Linked DNA regions of Macaca mulatta. The protein of the gene in region 1 interacts with the protein of each later gene in a pairwise test. Links are inferred from orthologs where the notes say so. Each region holds a gene or a part of one and is shown in the gene's direction. Other genes may lie near its edges.

What was found.
Region 2: the proteins of ATP10B (region 1) and TMEM30A interact in a protein complementation assay, tested with the Homo sapiens proteins (2 studies listed by IntAct, with this or other methods). The link is inferred for Macaca mulatta from reciprocal best matches to the Homo sapiens genes ATP10B and TMEM30A.

The regions. Positions count from the first base shown.
Region 1 is NC_133411.1:169,432,896-169,436,395, reverse strand, and holds part of ATP10B (phospholipid-transporting ATPase VB), read left to right. Parts: intron 1-108; coding exon 109-296; intron 297-3,500. UniProt on the Homo sapiens protein: Catalytic component of a P4-ATPase flippase complex, which catalyzes the hydrolysis of ATP coupled to the transport of glucosylceramide (GlcCer) from the outer to the inner leaflet of lysosome membranes.
Region 2 is NC_133409.1:110,454,710-110,458,889, forward strand, and holds the start of TMEM30A (cell cycle control protein 50A), read left to right. Parts: upstream 1-1,380; 5' UTR 1,381-1,497; coding exon 1,498-1,734; intron 1,735-4,180. UniProt on the Homo sapiens protein: Accessory component of a P4-ATPase flippase complex which catalyzes the hydrolysis of ATP coupled to the transport of aminophospholipids from the outer to the inner leaflet of various membranes and ensures the maintenance of asymmetric distribution of phospholipids.

The DNA.
Region 1 (3,500 bases):
GTGTTGCATTTCAAAAATAGTTTGAAACAAAGTTAACCAAGTAGTTTGATTACCCTGCCTCCTAATCTCAGTTTACCTTCAACAGTGTTTGCTTCTTTCCCTCCACAGACCATTTTCCACGGAGTCGTGCTCCTCGGCAGCTTCCTGACGTACTTTCTGGTATCTCTCCTGTACAATGCCACCTGTGTCACCTGCAACAGCCCCACCAATCCCTATTGGGTGATGGAAGGCCAGCTGTCAAACCCCACTTTCTACCTCGTCTGCTTTCTCACACCAGTTGTTGCTCTTCTCCCAAGGTTTGAGCACTGGGGCTGTGTTTCTTTCCTAAAATTACCAATCTCCCTTTAATAAGATATTTTTAAAACCCAAGAGTCAGGAGTTTGGCTTCTGCTGGGATCCTTGAGGCTACTGTTTCAGAAACAGAGAGGTGGGACAGAAAGAATGATGAATGACCAAGGAGGCAAATAACATGGACTGTGGTCCCAGGTTAGCCACAAAGTAGCGAAGTCACCAAATCAGTGTGACCTCCGTTGTGACATCTATAAAATGGGAGTATCAATTCCTACCCTCCTGCCTTACAAATATTTTTGTGTTATAAGGAATTATTTTGAGAAGCTCTGTGGTCCTTTTTTGTATTAGTCCAGGAGTCTCATACTCAAATGCCTACAAGGACAGGCCAGCAAGTTCAGCAAGCCAGATGGAGTACAGACACTGGAAGAAAGAGCTTCTCAGCTTCTATCATGGACACAAGGAAAGATCAAGTCAAACATTTCAGAGCTTCAGAGTTTTCCCAGAAATTCAAATTTTGCATGAAATTGCCAACATTTAAGTATTATTCAAATTTGTTTAAACACACACTTTCCACACAAGACCTGCATTAGACAAATTATCCATGCCCAGGGACTATGTCAGATATTTCCAAGTTAAACCCTCTACAGTAAATGTACCTTTTCCAGAAAAATAGCAAGAGCAACTATAAATGCCTTGACTTTCCTTGGAGCTCACTCTTGACGTAGGCTCTCCCATCTAGTCTCTCATTTTGTTTTTGCCATGAGCTAAGTGTTGGGCAGATCTATGGCTCTAGTACCCCGCTCATGGGATGGCTGAAGTACCAAGAGGGACCAGAATGTGTTCACAGGCCTACCACTGATCACAGTGGGAGCTAGGTTCTCCCAACTCAAAGGCCAGTGTTCTATTCTGCAGCCCACACTCTCTAGTCAAAGCAGTGAACTTGACGATGATGTGCCCACAGGCAAGACTTAGCCTCTTTCCATCCCTAGGATCTCACCACTCCGAACATCGCAATCAAGTCATTTTATCATTTTAAGCGATAGCAAATAGACAATTATACAAAACTTTTTTTATCCCAAAATTAGATACCCATCAACAGGCCTTACTTCCTTTAATAAGTTTGGTGGTTTGCTTAACCTAGTTTCTCTTGCCCCTAGGTTCTCTTGCCCCCAAGTTCTCTTGTCTTCTAACTTTATGTTCTCTCCATAAACAGCAATAACTGTCATGAATTTAAAAATTATTTTTAGCAGACGACTCTTCATCATAAATTCCCAGCCCAGACCTCTTTTATGAATTCCAGACACATCTTTCTAGCTACCTATTCATCACCTTCACTGGGCATATTAAGTCTGAGGAAACTGGGAGACATTTCTAATTGAATTCATGATTCCACCCTCTATCACCAGCACCACCCCAGAAATCTGGGTACCTCTCTAGAGTTTCTTTCAGCAAATGCTACCCACTTAGGACAAAGGCAGGCCCCGAGGAATTATTCTTGACATCACCTGCTAACCCACGCCCACGTCTAGCCTTTCACCAAGTACTGACAGTTCTATCCACTATGTATTTCTCAAACTCATCTATTTCCATTTCTACGGCCACTGCTACCAATAGACTATTACCCTTTCACCCCAAATTATTTCAGTAGTCTCCTATTAGATCTTACTCTTGTCCATTATTGTTGGTCCAAAGTGTGATGTCACCTATTTATAACCCTCCAAGGGCTTCCCAAGACCTCTGCAGTAAAGCACAAAAATCATAAACCTGGCCCACAATTCCTCCCTGCTCTGCTTGTGCCAACCCCTCCTGGGTCATATTCCCCTACTTTTATCACCACTCCCCAAGCTTCAGCCATCGTGCCTAGGTTTTGATTCTCATCCCCTTGGCATGGCTACCTCCTATGCATCCTGCAGTTTTCAGCTTTAAAAGGTTACTCTGTGTAAACCTTTCCCCAAGCCACCACCTTCCTCCTCCATTCATTTTTTCAGCAAATACTTTTCAAGTCCCCACAATGGGCCAGGCCCCCAAAGGATTAAGCCATGAACACAAAAGACAAGCTTTTTGCTGTCATGTAACATGTGAATATAGTTATAAATGGGGGGGGCATTTCCTCAAGGAAGAAACATTTAAGGGCTGATAGGGTATGGGTTTGAGAAATACATAGCGGGTGGAACTGTCAGCACTTCCTTCCTTGAGGAAGAAACACTTAATTTTAGTGATCAGGTGTTTGACACTCTCATTGCCTTCTCCATTTATAACTATATTCACATGTTACATGACAGCAAGGACCTTGTCTTTCCTGTTCATGGCTTAATCCCTTGGGGGCCTGGCCCGTTGTGGGAGCTTGAAAAGCATTTGTTGAATAAACCAATAGAGGAGGAAGGCAGTGGCTCAAGGAAAAGGTTTACACTACGGAAATTCCAGTTTTAAAGCAAAAAGTCAAATATTTCCTGGGACACATACATGGCCTTACTACCTCACTGGGTGAGATGTGAGAGAATGAAAACAATTTATCTGGTTCCATGAGATCTACTGTAATTTTCAGAAATCTCTTGCCTACTGGCAGAGGTTGGCTGGGCAGGGGTGGGAGGGTCACCCTGCAGCTTTTAGACATAGTGGAAGAATAGGAGCCTTCCTGCTTATAAGACTTCAAACAAAAAATTTTTAAAGACTATCTTTGGGAATGACCTTAGACGTCCTCCAGGCCAGATAGATTCCTTTTTAGATAAGGCAACGGACATCTGGAAAGTGGATGTGAGTTGCCCACTGCCACGGCTTGTGTATATTTTCTCCATACACCACATAGTTTTATTCACATTCTTACCCCTTTCCTTGCCTACACTTTGAACAGAGAGAAGATTCTAGACATAGATAAAGACTTCCAATTCCAGGCCGGGCACAATGGCTCACGCCTGTAATCCCAGCACTTTGGGGAGGCCGAGGCGGGCGGATCACAAGGTCAGGAGATCGAGACCATCCTGGCTATCACAGTGAAACCCCGTCTCTATTAAAAATAAAAAATAAAAAAATTAGCCGGGCATAGTGGTGGATGCCTGTAGTCCCAGCTACTCAGGAGGCTGAGGCAGGAGAATGGCGTGAACCCGGGAGGCGGAGCTTGCAGTGAGCCGAGATCGCGCCACTGCACTCCAGCCTGGGTGACAGAGCGAGACTCCGTCTCAAAAACAAAAAAAGATTTCCAATTCCAGAGT
Region 2 (4,180 bases), on another chromosome or scaffold:
GGATTACAGGCCCGGCCACCACACTCGGCTAATTTTGTATTTTTAGTAAAGACGGGCTTTCATCATGTTGGCCAGGCTAGTCTCGAACTCCTGACCTCAGGTGATCCACCCGCCTCGGCCTTCCAAAGTGTTGGGATTACAGGCGTGACCCACGGTGCCCGGCCTAACTGTAAATTATGAGGACCAAGCACTCCTTATTTTCTCTTTCCTCAGTTTAACTTATTTAAGGCATTACTGCAGACTAAGCCTAAAAGTAATTTATTTTCAAATGATGCGACTTACTCTCTGGCCTAGACTTCAAAGATGTCAGTATAATGTGGATTGTATATAATTGTTTAAATTTTACAAATAACATACGCCTATTATAGAAATTTTGGAAAATACAGAAAAGTGCAAAGAAACAGGAAAAAAAAATTCCTCCATCCGGTCAACAGAGTTACCATTATTCACTTTTTAGTTCCGCTCTATATTATACTTCTACAGTCGCTACACTACTCTAATATCCTGACTTAGTCACCTTTTACATCACGAGTATTTCCTTGGGTCATTAAATATCTGGCACTTTTAAAGTGTTTACGGGGTATCTTATTTTGTAGTAATGCTATATGTCCTGGTTTTTACAACAGTAAGAGAAAAAGCTACAGCCTATTACAAAACACTTCCTATATCAATGCGCAAAAGAGAAAGGTGGACATAGAAAAGGGGAAAAGTAACGTGAGAATCAGCAATAGAGAAAAAATAAGTGAGAATCGCTTAATTAGAGGCAAGATAATAGGGCTAAGTCACATTATTGATTCTTGACTTTAGGACAAAAGGGGTACATGTTACGCACCTGTGTTCCAAGTTTATAATTGCACCTTGAATAGCGATTTATTTAATTAAACTCGCGGTTTTACAACCTAAGCAAATACTGCTAATTCTCCCCCGACTCAATCCCCCTTGAGGCCGCCTTTTAAATGCTCCGACTCCCTTCAGAGAAACCCTCGAGGTAAAAAGAAAAACCTGTCTGGCAATCCGGACCTGCAGTCGCCACTATAACCAGAGTAGCAGGCAGGTGTGTGCTAACTAAAGCCACGGCCAACAGAGCAAATATACGCCTACAGCGCAGGCTCGGAATCCCCTAGCTCTAGGGCCGCGCATGCGCCAATGTAGCTTCGCGCTCGGGTGGCTGAGTCCGTCACAGGACAGATGATCAGGGTGCGTCCGCCTTTTCCTTCCCCCTTCTATCCTCCTCCCCTTTCCCCTCCCCTTGTCCCTCCTTCTTCTCCCTCCTCCCTCTCTCCCTCCCTCTGGCGTCTCCAGCCGACTTACGCTTCCTGTCCGCGGCCTTTGGCGGAAGAGTGTCCCGCCTCTTCCGCTCCACAGCGGAGGCGGCTGTGGCGGTGGCCCTGGTGGCGGCGGCGGCGGCAGCGGAGCTCGAGCGGTTCCTGTCAGGGTCAGCCGGCGGGCCCCCTGGGTGGTCCACCTGCAAGTGGCGGAGCGGTGCCCCGGGGATCGATGGCGATGAACTATAACGCGAAGGATGAAGTGGACGGTGGGCCCCCTTGTGCTCCGGGGGGCACCGCGAAGACTCGGAGACCGGATAACACGGCCTTCAAACAGCAACGGCTGCCAGCTTGGCAGCCCATCCTTACGGCTGGCACGGTGCTACCTATTTTCTTCATCATCGGCCTCATCTTCATTCCCATTGGCATTGGCATCTTTGTCACCTCCAACAACATCCGCGAGATCGAGGTGAGGGGAGGGAGCTGTGGTGGGAGTTGGCGTTGCTCGGGAGGACGGTCCTACGCGCCCGCCCCACTCCTTTCCCAGCGCCCTAAAGCCAGTTGACAGGCAGACCCCGCGCCGCCCCCCACCCCCTTCCCTCTGTTTTTTCTTTCTCTTTCTGCGGGTTTCCTGAATTTGCAGCTTTGTCCTAGCTTTGTCTTGCGGTTTACGAAAGAGCAAATCGACGGGATGAGCTGAGACGGAATGAATGTTTAATGCAGAAGATGGGTCAGGTGGAGAACGCTTCTTCAGTAGGCGGTTTGTGTGGTTCCATGGGGGATTAGCGGGGGTTGTTCACGGAGGTAAAAAGAGAAGTGGGGGCGGGGGCAATTGTAGCTAGGTAGATGCAACCCTGAGTGAATTGACAGGGTCAAAAGTGTCATTACCTTTGTGGGCGTTATCCGAAGACACAGAGATGAACACCTTGGCCATTGTTGGGAAAAGAACCAGAGTCGTAGAGGTATTGACGATTCTAATATAAAGAAGCTGTCGCATGTTATCAGGTCACGTATGAGGACTTACGACAAATGTGCATAGTACTTTTCATTTTGAGCTAATTCGATATTTTCAGTTGTGGGGCAAGATACACAGGAAAGATAACCTGAAACTTCAATTCTGGTTTTGCTTTTAGGCTACGTTTATTAATGGGCCCTACATTTGCTGGTCTTTTTTTTTTTTTTTTTTTTTTTTTTTTACAAAAAGAGCCAGTGACCACATTCAGGGAGTAAGTTGTCCACTGTCTACCAAACATTTTACTGATACTAACTTTGCTGAATATGTAAGACATGACAGGAAAACTTGGGGAAACATTTCTTTGTCAGAAGCACAGTATCTTTATCTGTAGGGGTGAAGATGGTTGATAGTACACTGTATTAATATATGCTGTATAGGTGTCCAGTATTAAGCATCTCTCATCTTTTCTTGCATATCTGAGAATGTTGTTGTTTTCTAAATCTATTTGAAAGGGCAGGAACTAGTAAGAAGTTCTCTTGATTCCTTCTGTTCTATTTATACACACACACACACATTTTAATAAATATACTTACCTATGTGATTTAATGGGACTTTGAGAGTAATTTTATTTTTAACTACTGAAATAGGGATGGGGTTCCACTTTAATTTGCAGTGTTCTCTCTAAAAGCAAGATTCATGTGTTTTGTAATTCTACAGTGCTTACTTCAGTGTTGACGACAGTAATGAGAATAGTATCTATAGCATAACTAGTTTTAAAATTTTTTACTAAAAATTTATTCTCAATTTAATAACTAAAGAGTTACAGTATTTTTTTCAGCATGTATTTTAGTTTGTTTTATCACCTTAATCTCCCTAATAATCCTGCAAATGTAGTACTTCTTGTTCTAACCATACTAGGATCACACATTATATTAGTATATGGGCAAAGTGGTGTCATGCAAGGAACATGGGCATTGGCTGGGGTCAGGCAGAGCTGGTTTTAAATTCTAGCTCAGCTACTAACCATCTCAGTTTCTTGGAAAATTTCCTTAATCTCTCTGAGCTTCAGTTTCCTGCAAAATAGGTAGAATAATTCATATCTTCTAAGGTGTGAGAATTAGAAGCAATGTAAATAAGATGTCTGGCAGTAGGGATCTGTCTCCTGATCCTTAATCAGGAGATGAGAAAGAGTTTGAGATTTGACAGTAAACTAGTTAAGAGTATTATAAAAAATGAGACAGAAACTCAGGTGTCTTGACTCCCAGCTTTAAGCTTTCACCCTACACTAAGATCCTTACTGCAATGTTAATAAAGTAGAAGAAAATAATTTAACATCTGAAATTTGAATGATTTTATTTAAACTTCTTAAGATAAGAGGAAAATAGCAATAATTTGGAATTGTGTATAAGTTAGTATTTTCAGAGCTCAACTTCCATTAATATTTACCATAGTAGAAAAATAAATGTTTAACTTTTCTTAAAATCTTTGGGTTTTGGAGTAAAATAAGGTTCCTCACACTAAGTAGTAGACAAAATAGAAATTTTTCAAATAGCTCTCATGTGTAATTCTGATTTCAAGTTGCCTGAAGAATCTGCTGCAGCTTAGCCTGGTTAAAAGGGCACTGAAGAGTCAGGGAATTAGGGTTGAAATCCCACCTCTGTCACTCTGTACTTTGTGATCTTAGGTATAATTTTGAGTCCAGTTTCTTTACTTGAAGAACCAAAAGATTCAGATTAAACTGCCTCTAAGAGGCTGTTCAACTCTAAAATTCTATGATATCCAATTCAAATGTGATTTTTAAAAAACTGGATGTGTTTAAATTGTATTGCCTTTGGAGCAAGAGGAAATGAAAACTAAGAATAATTTAGAATTTTTTACTGACAATGAACATACAGTTGTGCAGACAGAATCCACATATGTATTTTTAAAGTTTGGATGCTGGATATATAGAGAAATGCTT